Linked DNA regions of Oreochromis niloticus. The protein of the gene in region 2 interacts with the protein of the main gene of each other region in a pairwise test. Links are inferred from orthologs where the notes say so. Each region holds a gene or a part of one and is shown on either strand. Other genes may lie near its edges.

The links.
Region 1: the proteins of dapp1 (region 2) and fxn interact in binary tests that used the Homo sapiens proteins (3 or more experiments, as listed by UniProt). The link is inferred for Oreochromis niloticus from reciprocal best matches to the Homo sapiens genes DAPP1 and FXN.

What each region holds. Positions count from the first base shown.
Region 1 is NC_031977.2:4,559,995-4,567,791, reverse strand, and holds the start of fxn (frataxin, mitochondrial), read right to left. Parts: upstream 3,016-7,797; 5' UTR 2,912-3,015; coding exon 2,804-2,911; intron 2,720-2,803; coding exon 2,639-2,719; intron 1,561-2,638; coding exon 1,469-1,560; intron 1,375-1,468; coding exon 1,254-1,374; intron 1-1,253. Other genes in the region: hmgcra (3-hydroxy-3-methylglutaryl-CoA reductase a), read right to left, coding at 6,654-6,705.
Region 2 is NC_031983.2:3,065,800-3,072,743, forward strand, and holds the start of dapp1 (dual adapter for phosphotyrosine and 3-phosphotyrosine and 3-phosphoinositide), read left to right. Parts: upstream 1-3,935; 5' UTR 3,936-4,060; coding exon 4,061-4,119; intron 4,120-6,277; coding exon 6,278-6,400; intron 6,401-6,898; coding exon 6,899-6,944. UniProt on the Homo sapiens protein: May act as a B-cell-associated adapter that regulates B-cell antigen receptor (BCR)-signaling downstream of PI3K.

The DNA.
Region 1 (7,797 bases), on a different chromosome or scaffold from region 2:
CGTCGTTTGAAGCTTTGTGAGATCCTGAAAGACGCAGGAATAAGTTGTAGGATTTAAGGGTGTAATAACGGACTGAAACAGAACATCTACAAGGATGCCAGCTGCTGTTAAACACCAAAGAAGAAGAAGCAGTCTCCAGTATCGTAGCTGTGTCCAAATTCAGGGGCTGCATCCTTCGGAGGCCGCATTTGTACAGCGATTACGTTACAGCAACACGACGAAGGCTGTCCAAATTTGTAGACTCCTCCAAATGCGGCCGACAAATGAGTCCTCCTTTTCCTCAGATTTGAAGGATGGGTCGGGTGTATCCTTCGTGATCCCCAACCTATCCCAGAATTCATAGCGCGGCCAAACCAATTCTAGTTCCAACAACTGTCCAACAGCTAAGTTTCCAACTTAGTTTTAATATTACTCTTATTACTCACAAAATAAAACTTCTAAGATATTCTCAGGCAAGAAGGTAGCTGTGTAAACTTCAAATATCTGCTCGGTTTATCGAGCCATCACATATTTGCAAAAGTGCTCTGACGTCTTTGGAGACGAGCTGACGGGGAGGTCAAGGCTCACCAGAGACGGCGATAACAGCGAACTCCTGGCACATCGTTTTGAAACCCCCCGCGGTCTTTGGTTAGTCAGGTTAAACAAGTCACATACAAGTCACTTAGATAACTTAAAAATGTTATTGTTTGGCTTTTTTCAGTATTTTATTTGTTCCTGAATAAATCGGTTTGGCTGAGATTAAAGTTATAGTTTTCACACAGCTGAATAAAAGTCAAACAGAAAACTGATTAAACAGCAGTGTGAGATGGTCGAGAGTTTACTCCAGTGTCCTGTTATATTTAGATAGCAAGGAGCAGACGGCTGAGTTTATTAAACTCCACCGAGACAATCTGCAAATTTCGTTAAAAGTTTAATAAACTATCGTCTTGTCTTTATTTTTAGTTAGCACATACCTGAAACACTTAAAGCTGTAAGCTAATGATAGTTATATAAGCGCAGACGCATGCTGGTGCAATAAGCTGTACATGTTACGTCCAGTGCATGCCTGATCTGATTAGTCGACTAATTGCAAAAATAATCGGTGACTAGTCGACTATCAAAATAATCGTTTGTGGCAGCCCTACTTTAATTGTATGTTCATCATTTAGTTTCTGTAAATAAGCATTTAGATAATTCTGCCATCATTTATTATGGCTACGATTAAAGTTCACTTTACAGTTAGCAACCTTTACAACATCCATAGAGTGACTTACAGAGAAGACAACATCATAGTCTGCCCCAGTAAAAGCTTCATCGGTGAGGTCTTCAAAGTAATCAGCCAGAGCATCCAGTGTCTCATCGACCAGCTTCTCATATGTTGCTACAGACAGTTCACTTTTAGAGAATGACGGAAAGTTATAAATTAGTTCAAGTAGCCAAAGCTTAAGCAATGCTTAAGGAGAAAAACAAAAATTAAAATATTGGTTACCTTACATGCACGAGGGTGACTTTTTTCTGACTTGGTGAATTCAGGTAGATGGTTTTGCTCCACCTGCAACCATTAATTCTGCTCCCGAACCACTGAAATAGAAAAGTCCAACAACTTATTTAATTATTCTTCTCCTTAGTCCAGTTTTATGCTCAGCTGGTTTCTGACAATTATGCACCTTGTAGAGTATTTATGGCCAACTTTGAATTTTATAGTTCGTATATTTTCCATTTTGAAGACAGATCATGAAATCAATCAATGTGAAACATTTGTGACACGTACTTTTATGCTTAATAAAGTGTTGAATTTGGAGGTGCAAGGCCCTCCCTGATTTCGGACTGAGACATAAGCTAATTCTAACTGTAAGCCTCTCTATTAAACTTTGTTTACTTCTTCAAAGGTTCTGTGGGCCCTTCTAAGAACTCTGAGCATCAGAACTTTCTATAGATTTTCCAGTTGGATTCGGGTCAGGTGATTGGCTGAGCCATTCTCGCAGCATCTGGCAGAGTTCAACTTTGGTGTCATCTGACCAGACTGTATTCTCCCAGTATTTCACAGGCTTGTCAAAAATTTGTTCAAAAACAGATGCAAGAATGCCGACAGTTACACACTCATGCAATAAAGAGGATGTTTATTGTATTACAACACACAATAAGACAACTGATCGACTGAGATATTGATCATTTAAGCGAATTTTCCATTAATATGGTTTATAGTGTACTGAGGTGTTTTGAGGGTTTTATTGCTTCTTTTCCTAAAGGGATGGTTCGAAAATTCCTACACCAGCAAACAGTAAATATTTGTGATAATATTCAACTATAGAAGTAATAATATTTGAACAATTCTTCAGTCAGGACGGAGTGCAGAACAGTGAGGATGTCCATGTAGAGTTTAAACAGGCCTCACAACAGGTTGTGTTTTAATTTGATACAATTCATCTTAATTTGTTACATAGTGACGACGGTTTAGTGTGTGTGTGTGTGTGTGTGTGTGTGTGTGTGTGTGTGTGTGTGTGTGGAGGGACCATTTCTGTGCCTCTCTGTAAAAACCAGACCAAACATTTGAAGATAAACTGGAGATGGCGGTGAAGCAGGCTCGGTGATAACTACAAACCGTCATTAAGTATGTTACAGTTTAAACCCATCACCACCGAGTAAAAGCTGAACTTACGCTGTGTGAAGGCCGGCAGGCGGGATGCAGCGCGTGGTTAATGAACGGACGAAGCCCCGGGAGGTGAGATAATCTCCAAAACTACAGTGGACATAAAGGACACTGTCAGTGTGGCTCGTATCTAACATTAGCATCATGTACAGTCACACTAGACTCAGCTCGTACCTGGTTCGCCAAATCCTTCTTCCTCTGCTGTGTCAGCATGCTGAACTGTGTGCTCGCGAACTGACACATGTGTGAATAAATCCCTGGTGTCTTACAGAACAAACGCATGGTTTACTGACGGTCCGACAAATACTCCCAGTGTTTTGACAGCCAACGCTTCTTCTCCTTCTTCTTCTGCTGCTGCTTTCTTTCTTTTTCGTCATTTATTGGCGGTTGCCAAACAGCACAATGGTGCATTACCGCCCCCTGCTGGTGTGGAGAATGAGTGTGTCTTAAAAAACTAAATATGGCCTGATAATACTCGAGTTCTTAAAAATACATCAACCAAGTCCATTTTCACTTTCAGATCACCGAGCTTCTGGATCAGCTGTCTTCTTTCAGCGTCATATTTCTGACATTAAAACAGGTTTTCCTCCCACTGCTTTTGACACCTTTCTTCCATTTTCTGCCGTATTATCTGTCCTGCTAACACTGATAACCAATTCACTGATACCCATGGTACCCATAAGGTGGTGATGATAAGCCCCATCTCTCTGACTCTGTACAGTGTTTGCTGAACCTCTTTCAGAATGTCTGGCCTGCTATCTGAGTCACTGTCTTGCAAACTAGCCAATGATGAACTTGAGTCTGAGCATATCACCGATCTTAATGGTCTTGAGTCTTCAGTCCACTGGACAGCTGACAGTACTGAAACCATTTCTGTACACTAATAAACTGTCACTGATCCTTTTCCTTACTTTGACATGAAACTCAGGAACAATAAATACTATCCTGCTTTGGTCGGCTGTCTTCTTTGATGCATCTTTGTAGATTTTGACATAACTGTAACACCGATCTATATATGCCTGCACTATATGTGCGTTTAAAATAAAACACCTTTTCCTACAGCATCAGAGAGTACTCAGGACAGTGCTGATCACCGCACCACCGTGTTGCCATAATTGTATCATATTCATAAACAGGTTTTCTGCCATGTGTTTAGCTCCATCCATCTTTCCATCACCTTTGACCAGCTTCCCTGTTCCTGCTGAAAAGCATCCCCACAGCATGATGTTGTCACCACCATGTTTCACAGTGGGGACGGTACGTTCAGGGTGATGAGCAGTGTTACTATTCTGGAACATGTAGCTCTTTGCATTTAGGCCCAAATCATTCAGCTTTGGTCTCTTTTACCATTTTTGGATGATGGATTGAACAGCGATGTTCAAAGCTTGGGATATTTTTTATAACCTAACTGTATAGGAATTTCTTTTACTTGTGTATTAATCACATTATTTTATTGTATAATGCCTTGGTGCCACTGGATTTTAACATGTCTGACACCCATACTGTAAGAAGGAAGTTGGGGGAAGCAGACCACTCCACAGGAAGAATCTTTTGTCTCTTTGAGGACTCTGGGAGGTAGCAAGGGAGTGTGAACCTTAAGGTGTGAAACAGCTGTGTACTGCCTTTTGTTTCTGAAGAAGGCATTTAACTGAGAGCCATGTTAGGCTTGGGAGACTCTGCTGACTGTCTGCCCCGCGATCATGCAGGCTCTTCACAAGCTTGGTTTGTCTGTTCTTTGTGTTTGATTAAAGAATGTTAGCTACCGCTCGTCTGCAGGCTTTATTTAAATGGAAAACTTCCACAACACTAACCCTGCTTAAAATATCTACAGCTTCGTCCCTGAGCTGTCTGTCAAATTCATGTTCTCTAACAAACACTGAGGCCTTCACAGAGCAGGTGTGTTTATAATGAGACTACATTACACACAGGTGAACTTGATTGTCTAATTAGGTGACTTCTGAAGGCAATTGATATCACTGGATTTTGCTTAAGGGTATCAGAGCACAGGGGGCTGAATACACACCACACTTTTCAGATTTTCATCTGCTTAAAATAACTTAATTAACTAAGAGAGGGATCCAGAAAATGGAGCTCTCAGAAATGAGGAAAAGCAGCAGACCAATGAGGAGGCTCGTGGATGCAGTGATGAAGGGCATGCAGTGGGTGAGGAACAGGGTGATGACCCACTGTGGGCGACCCTACAGAGAGCAGCTGAAAGAAGAAGAAACAACAGGCCAACTGTAACTACAGTCATGTATTTGAACCTATTCTGTCACACATCAAGTCATCTGAAAAGACGAGTGGAGATGTATTTAAATCTCTTTATACAGTAACATGGAATCAGCTTAAATCTGACATGATATACGAACATTACTATCATCCCACTGTAGGTCAGCCAATCATTTCACTCAAACATGATACCAGCGGTTGGGCCTTGGTTTGCAGGTTTCAGATCTCTGCTGACCACACCCACTGAGCAGGAGTGGACAAATTAAAAGCTTACCTGTAGCTGTCACACATTTATCAGACTCACATGTACCACACTGAATTCAACAGGACACCTACATTCTAACACTCAGCTGTAAGATCGTTTCTACAAACCTAAAGACCTCAAAACTGAGTCATTGTGTAGATTTTTTTTAAAATTCTTTTGTCTTTTTTTAAAAATCCAATGTGCAAATAAAGGTCAGATCATTTCAAGTAAATATGAAATATTATTTTTTTTAAGTCAAACAAGTTAAAATGTTCCTGTAAAGAACATCATCAGTAAATTCATTTGAAAAGGCAAAAGAAGACAATAACAAAGTACAGGGACATATTAAAGGAATTCAGTGCTGGAACTGTCCACCATTATCATCGTCATCATCAGTGTAAGAATACACACCTTGGTGAGCTGACTTACCTCCACAACCAGCACCATGAGTGACGTGGGATGGAGTTTGTCTCCAAGTACGTTTTGTCATGGTCCTGAGTCTTTGAGCGTTTTGAGTTTACTGTGGTTCAGTGTTTTGGGGCTGGGGAGATGTTGGTGTTCTGGTTCTCTGTATGGGTTTGGTCCTGCGTTTATCTGAATCCGCTGATTCCCAGTCCCTGTGTCTCAGGGTGTTGTTTGCCTGTTTTATTTCGATAGTCTCCTGCCTAGTGTCTGCAATGATCAGTTTTGCTTCCTTTGTCTCAGTACTCTGGATTAGTGTCAGCTGTGAGCTGTTCCTTCATGTTCCCTCGTGTGTGTATATTTTCTTCGTCTCCCTTTGCTGTCTGTTGTGAGCTCCCTCATGGTACGTGAGCCGCTAACCTTCTGTTAGCCTGTAAGTCAGCTTTGTTCCAGTTTTGTTGCTTTGCCTTTTGCAGCACATAAAGCTGTGGTTAAGTTTCTGTGTGATGATTTCTTCTGTTGGATCCATGCTCTGCTTCCACGTGTCTGCAGCAGCATTGCTAATGTTGCTGTCACGTGTGCTATTATGGTCAAAGGCAGTCAGCTGCTGTTGCATTACCCCAAATGTGCTTTTACTTTTGTGTAGTATTGTAGTGTTTGTGTCAGGATGTGGACAAGTTTTTATAAAACCAGCAAAATGCAATCAGTAGTTCTCTAAGAGTGAAGTGCAGACTGAATGTTTAACAACTGAAACGTGCCCTTGTTAGACAAAGAAATTAAATAATTATAAACCATACAGAGTGATAAACAGCATGTCTCACACATCAGTTACAGGTATGATGGTATTTGTATTCACAGCTCTCAGACTGGATGTAGGAGGGGAGAAATTTTAATTTGAATCCAATGGGCTGTAAAGCTTACATCATTCTGCTGAAATAAAAGAAGTCATGAACTGATCGTTCGGTGTAATCAAACAACCAGACTCAGTAAACATACTGATTCATCCTTTAATGTCAGAACAGGAACTGTTCAGCAGAAAGTCTCTTTGATTTGGATCATCTTTAAGGTCATTGATGAATCAGTCGCCCCTTTCAGATTGGCCACATGTTTCCAGTAACCTGAGTTTTCCCAGCAGGCCCAGCTGTTCTTTCACGATGCTTCCCTGGTGCAGGTTCCTGTCTCCTGCAGGTTTACCTTCGACCTGTGAACAGAAGAGTCAGATCAGGTCCCATCATGGCATCATTGCACCAAAACAAAGACAAAATAGATTCATTAGATCTTTATTGTTGGTAGAATTAAATAATGATTATGGACATTCACATTTTAAATATAACGCAATAATTTAAATGAATTATTCATTATTACAATTCATTATAGGGAATTCTTCAGATTTTGAGAATGTGATACTGCAACAGCCCTGCAAATTTCAGGAACAGCTCAATAACACAAATCAGTCTGTTTGCTTCAGTTAAGTGCTGGTCTTCTGTTTTATTGGCTGTAGATAAAGAATCATTCAGGTAAGAGTTTGTACAAACACAAAAACATACAAATTAGTCTAAGAAGGTGGTTCCCAAACTTTTTTTGCAAGGCCCCCCTTTGTTCTACAAGAACCCCCACCCCGCACAAACACATTCTCCAACCACACACACCCATATTTTGTTTATTTCACACCTCAAACCTTTTGTAAACAATTAAACAAATATAAGTAAATTGCAATAAATTACAGGTAGCAATAAAATAAACTGCTACCTCTTTGAAATAACAGAAAAACAAACCATCTTTATGTTGTCATTATTTTAGGTGTAGTTTTTTTTTCCTGTGTAATAATATTCAACATTGCCATCAATACATTTTTCAAAAAATGCCTCTCTGTGCAAAATGGGTTTAAAAACATAACTGTGGGATACTGTTTGTCCGTGATATGGACAGCCCAGCGTGTGCTCCCAACGCAGGGGAAACTAATTCTGTCGGGGAGACCTAACTTGGCACCTTCACCTGGTTTGGAAACACACACACACACACACTTTGGGAACCACAGATCTAAAAGAATCATAGATGTGTATGATCTGATGATCAAACCACCTAATATTTACAGGTGTGCAATGAAATGTGTGCAAACGCATAATTTTGCTGCATGCATTTGTGAGTACTCATCTATACACGTATAACAACCTGAATAAAGAGTTCTTATTCACAAAATCTGATCAGTTTGCTTTCAAAAAGATTTGTGTGTATAAAATGAGTATTTGTGATATTGTTTTCTCTTACAGGTTGTTAAATGTACACCTACAGA
Region 2 (6,944 bases):
CTTTGTGCATGTGCACTTACGTTGATTTATGTGTGAGGATTGTGATTATGTTTTTTCACATGGAGAACTTTTTACATTAATATAATTCCACAGACATCGCTCTTCCTTGTGTTGTTGCTGCTAACCCTTCCCCCTGGAGTTCACAGATGACATGAACTGAGTATGCCTTTCCTGACCTGCTGTCCGTCTACACTAAGTGGTGCAAGACCAAAGCCAGGAAGATTATGAAGGATCTCTCCCATCCCAACAATGGACTCTTCTCACTGTTGAGGTCTGGTAAGTGCTTCCGCTCCCTTAAGGCCAAAACAGAAAGAATGAGGAGCTTCTTCCCTCAGTCCCTGAACCAGCTGTAGGAACCCGTCTCTCATTACTGTCCATCAGCAACTGTTACTCTGCACACTGTTTATTTACACACTTTTATAGTTTCTTAAGTTTGTTAAATTTACACATTCTATTTTTGCTTTTTTATTTATAAATTTTTTATTTATTTTTTTTTACCTTCAATTTTACTGTAAATTTCAAATTTTTAATTTGTAAATTATATAAATTTCTTGCTAGTTTAGTTTTATGTCTATGTTTAGTTTTTTATGGTCAGGCATTGCACAGCAACAAGCCTTTTACTGCATGTCGTACTATGTATGATTGTGTATGTGACAAATAAAATTTGAATTTGAATTTGAATGCCCATAAATCAATGACCTCCATTTCCACTGTGCTGTCAACTTTCAGAGCATCTCTGGTTTATCAGCCTCATCACAAAGGAAGAGGATGAAAGAGACACAATGAAGTGATAAATATGATAGATGTTGAATCAAACATTACAAACAGCATGTTGAAAAGAAACAGAGAGGAGAGAAAAGGGTCTGAACACAACAGAAAAGAGACAGAAAAGATGTCTGCAAGAGAAAAAATACAATCAGTGGAAAGATGAGCAGAATAGTCGAGAGAAGCCAGAGAGCCAAGAGAGTGGAATAATCCATGTGTTTCAGTATAATTTAAATCCATTAAAATATGTTAACAACAATATCACATAAAAATATTAATAATAATATTACGTTGTCATATTAGTAAATTAAAGTTACATTTGTAGAAATGCCACTTTTTGACTGGCCCAATTTTGCTGATTAGCTGTCCTATTTTATCTAAAAACAACTCAAAAATGTGGGATAGCTGATGTTTCAGTTGCTGTATGGCCTCAACAGATCAGAGCGACCTTCTGATATTCAAATTAGGCACCGAATGGGAAATGAAAAAAGGGACTTTGAAAGTGGCATGACTGTTGGTGCCATGCAGGCTGGTCTGAGTAGTTTAGAAACTACTGATCTGTCATTTTTCTGTGGTTTACATTGTAAAGAAAGAGAGAAAATATTCAGTTCGTGGCAGTTCTCTGGGCAAAAATGCTTAGTTGATGCTAAAGGATGGGGGAGAGTGGCCAGTTTGTTTCGAGCCCAAAGGAAGGCAACAGCTAACAAATATATGAATATATGAAATGAAAATATGCAGAAGAACATCTCTGAACATGCAGCCTGTTGAACCTTGAAGCACATGGAGCTCAGCTGGTGACCTGAACCAGCTAACTATGATTTATCAAAAAGGAAATCATAATCTTAAAGATAGAGGGGCCCGGAAGCTGAAAGCTCTGCTTCCCATTCTGCTTTTAAATACCGTAGAAACCTCAAGTAATCCTGCAAGAGCAAAGTGCTCTATTGGGTACTGTTGGGTCTGTGTTTCCACAAGCCCCGCTGGTTTAGAGACTTATTTGTCATGAAGAAAACAAGACAGTCAGCGATCGATCGATTTACTTGCAAGGGAGGCCTCGTCTGTGTCTACCACGAAAATGACCCCAAATCCGGCCTCCTCTCGCTGCCTTTTATTGGGAAAGCAGTTCACACAAAACACATCACAGCAAAGCAACGCCCACATGGTTCTAAGACAAGGCACTGTATGTATATGTGTGAACTTCTGTATGTATGTAAGAATGTGTGTGTGTGTGTGTGTCCTCCTGCTGGGCAGGAAGCTTACATCAAAAAGACCTTCACAAGGATGTGTCTGTAATAAAAGACTACAGCCCCCCACCCAGAGCCTCGAGAATCTGGGGGGAAGGACAGAAGAATTCCTTTCATCACAGAGTTAAAACAATGTAGAGATGGTAAGCCTAAAAATGACAACATTTAACAATTCACTCTAACAGGTACTATGATTTTTTTTACTATAAGATGGGACCTGATTATTCAAGACCTTGTATGTGATGACAAGGGTTTTAAATTCAATTCTGGATTTAACAGTTTTACTGGAGACTGGAGGAAGATAATGAAGAGGACGCTCTAATTGCTGTAATAGAATATTATGGTCAAGAGGCTGACGGCTGCACTGAGGTCTGCCAGGACAAGCACAGAGATGAGTCCACTGCCAGAGGCCATAACAAGATCATTTGTAACCTTGTTGGTTGGATTTTAGACTTTTTAACTGACAGATCTCAGTGTGTGAGAGTAAACATCTGTTTTTCCAATCAGCTGGTTCACCACAGCGTTGTTTTCTCTCTCCCCTACTGTATATTTTGTACACTAATGACTGTCGTAGTACACAGGTTAAAACGCATTTCATTAAATATGCAGATGACACAGTCATTGTAAGCGTCCTTCATGGTGAAGAGTATTCCCATGGGCCTGTTGTGACATGAGCCACTGGTGGATCATTATAAGTATTTGGGGGTTGTTCTTGACAAAGCTCTGTCCTTTGAGTCACATTTTGATGCTACAGTGAAAAAGGTCCAACAACAACTGTACTTTTTAAGGTGATTGAGAGTTTTTAACGTTTCATCTGAAATGATGACCCTTTTTATGAAAGTTTTATTGAATATGCTCAACTGGTCTCAGGTCCAGTTTGTGGTCTTTTCTAACAGCCTGGTGCTGAGGAAGGCAACCTCTGTCATGTTATGTTCAGACCGTCCTCTCTTTAGAGACTTTCAGCTGCTTGGTATGAAGTGCTGTAGTGAAGACCAAGAGACATCGAGTGTCTTTTATACCTGCTGCTATTGTCATGTTTAATAACACTAAACCATAAGCGTTGTTGCCATCACTGCTGCACATTGCACTTTGTTGATGCTACTGATAAAATTTGGGATGTTCTCTCTTTTTTTGTTTGTTTGGGGTTTTTGTTTTCGATGTGTGGACATACTGCAAATCAATTTCTCATTAGAGACAATAAAGTTACCTTTGACACTGACCTTCACTAAATCTTTTTAGGTTTTGTGATGAGCTCTGAAACCTGACCCAAACTCTTCAAATCTGCAGGTGATCAGTTAGCTTACAACTGCTCTTTCAAGAATTTGGTAAATAAAAGGTTGGAGATTGGCCTACAGTTAAAACAGCTGGGTCTTTTAAGTTATGGTTCAACTACTGCCAGCTTGAAGGCCTGTGGTACATATCCGATTAATAGAGATCATGTTTAAGATTAAAGTATTAATTAATTGTACAACTTCCTTTAGTAGTCTTGTGGGAATGGGGTCTCAAACACACTGAAACACACTGGGTGCCACTCCTGACAGCAAATATCAGGAAACTGAGGCTATAATTGGCACGAGCTTACCAAAATTGGACAAAAGCACACAGGAAAAACATTTCCTGGATTGGATTCCTTAATACCCAATAAGCGTTCTTTAAACACTACAGTCTGCTATGTCCATCCCTTTATCATCTTCTGATTGCTGGAAAATTTCACAAACCTCAAATTATCTCAAACTGATTCCTTGAAGAAGGCAGTGAGTTCACTATACACAAATGGAGGTTCCACAATCGCCAGACCTCAAACCATTAGCGGACTTTTGGCATGTGGGTGGAACAGGAGATTCCATCTTGGATGTGCAGGTGACAAATCTGCGGCAGCTGCACGGTACAGACCAATATCCCTGAGGAGTATCTCGTGTGCCTAATTCAGTGGTTGGTGAGCGTGTGTATTTCCTGTAGGCGTGTCTGATCTGAGCAGTTTTTACTTCTCTATTTGGCCGCTCCGCTTGTTTAGACCAACACCGAACTTAGATTAACTGAAATCTGCTGGAGAGATGAGTTCTTTCAGTGATGAATCTTTCGAGGACTTGAGTGACGAGCTTGCGAGTCTTGGGTAAGGCCGGGTTGGGAATTATAAACAGCTTTCACCTGTTTGAAAACGGTAAACTGCTAGAAGCGATACTTTATGTGATTCTTCACCACCACGATTTTATGATCATGATAAAAAGCAAGACCATCGCTTTATACCTCTGTTGTTACACATTAAACGCCTTTTACAAAGAGCTAACTCGTTTGTCTGTATTTGGACATTTTCAGTTTCTCTGTCTTGTGCTGTAGATTTTGTTAGGAATGACAGGATCTGCTTCTTAAATCAGTGTTTTGTGAAACTGTGAAATTGAAATCTACAAGAATTCTAACTTACTAACATAAATGATTACCATATAACGTTTTCTAAAAGCAAAATTAAACAGCTGCTCCGTGTTAACAGATTGTTACGTAAGTTATGTGTACACTTGTAATTTACTTTGCAGCAGGGGAATATTGTCAGTTGTAACGTGCCAAAAACAAGTTCCAGTACCGACTCACTGTGCAGTCTATTAACACTTGCTCAGCTATAAATTCTCTCCGTGTCGCGTTAATGTTTTGTAGATGTTGTGATCTCTCCTGCGCGTAAACACTGCACGCTGATCAAACTCAGGACAATACTTGCAATTCCAAAAGAAGCGCCATGGAGAGATGTCCAGGACTGTCCGTTCCGCTCCTTAAAGCAGTTTGTTTGTTTGTTTGTTTATTTGATTTACGGAAGTCGGGTGCTGACAAAATCGCTCCGATTTAAAGCCGCACAGAACTAAACTGCGCCCGAGACTCAACTCCGAAAACACGCAGCTGGTATTTAACGGTTACGGTCATACTGCCCTAATAACTTAATGACTCTATCATGGTATGTTCTAATGTTGTTGATACTTTGGTTTTATTGAGGAAGGACAAATATAATATTAAACCACAGGATGCTGTGCGCTGTGCTTATATATTTCACGAATTGTTACAGAAGCTTTCCATAAACGCAACAAATGTGAAAAATTCCAAATCCACAATCCTCTGGATGTATCCACAGACTGCTCTGACAACTGAGGTCTTACTATAAATGCACTGAATAAAGTCAGTATGGAGTTTGTGGAACAGTCTTATATGATACCACAATAACCCTGCAAACATCCATCCATCCATTCTCTTTCACCTATCGTTGTCAGGGAGGCAGAGGGCTACCATAGACACACAGAGAACCACTTACACGCCCATTAACATCTAACCACACTAACTACATCTTTAGACTGTGGGAGGAAGCCAGAGTACCCAGGGAGAGCATGCAAACTCCACACAGTAAGACTCTGGCCAGATGGTGCATTTAAACTCAGGACTGCCACCCTGCAAACAAGAAATACAGAAACTTAATGTTCAGTTTGGAATTTAAACTGATACTTTAATTCTGCAGCTGGTTTTAAAATATGATCAGAACCCTTTAAATCTAGCGTTTTTTCTCGAGCTGTTGCCTTCAGTGATATTTTTAAACAGTCCCAGCAACTTTTAATGCAAATTAAGAACTTTCACATCCTTTTACCAGTTCCCTTTATATTTCCATACAGTCTGAGGTGCACAGTACTGCACAGATGACCTTGAATCATAACATAAGCCTGTTCTTTAACATAATTTTGCACAACAGTGTAAAAATCATACAGGTTCTGCATATGAGACAGAAGTCTCAGCATTACACTTTCCTAATAAAAGTCAGTATTTTAATTCAGAACCTAATCTTCAGGAAAAATGTTAGATGAAGCCCATGAAAGATTATTTTAACCTACATTTTTATACCAGGCTTAATTCCAGCTTCACTCTCTGTTAAAATAAAAATGGTCACATTTTAACTCACAAATGTCACGTATGGTTGTGATATGGAGAAATAACATTAGTGTTGTATGTAAAAGTTTCAGTATGTCACACTGAGCAAGCAGCTTTAGGTCCCAAATAAGTTTTTCTAAGTCTTTGTAAATTGAGCACAAGCTCAGTTGATCAGTGTCCATGCTGTTATATAAAGACTACTGTTGTTTCTGTTGAAATATTAGAAATTGATTTGACACAGAATGAATTGTAGCTAGAAGATGGGCCGCACGTCAAACTGTAGATAAAAATGAGACCTTTTATATCATTTCTCTAACGATGGTTTTATTTCTTATTTTATAAACTTCTCACATCATATTACTATTGTCTTGAAGGTGGTACCACTATGACCTGTCCCGCCATGCTGCAGAGGCCCTTCTCTTGTCCAATGGGACGGATGGAAGTTACCTCCTGAGAAACAGTAATGAGGGACCAGGCTGCTTCGCCCTGTCTGTTAGGTGAGTGAACGAGGGAAGTGCACCATGGGTTTGGAACCGTAACAGGCGATCAGTGACAAAACAATGATGTCACAACAGATGCAGAGTTATCTTACCTGATTATAACTTTATTTTTTACTTTTAGTTAAATTTGCCTTGTTCCTATGTCTGCTACGGTTTTATTTCTCACTGGTGTGTATAGTATTAACAGAGTCACCAGATCCCCTTAATGTTGAGGTTAAAGGTTAGAGTTTTTCACCAAGTATTCTAGTATTAGTCACACTAAGCGTGTGTGTGTGTGTGTGTGTGTTTGAGAAAGACAGAGATGTGATACTGAATCAGTGATACTGAACCACCTAGAAACACTTTGTTAAAAAGAAGTATGTGAATCTTAACAATGATGAAGAAAGGAAACACGAACTTGCTATATTTTTAAGCTAAATATGCACAGGTCTGTGTTTAGTGTACTTTTACTTGTGAATGACTTGAAACATTTATGCTGTTTATCATTTGACATAGGGCAAAGGATTCAGTGAAGCATTTTCAGGTGACACGAAATAGCAAT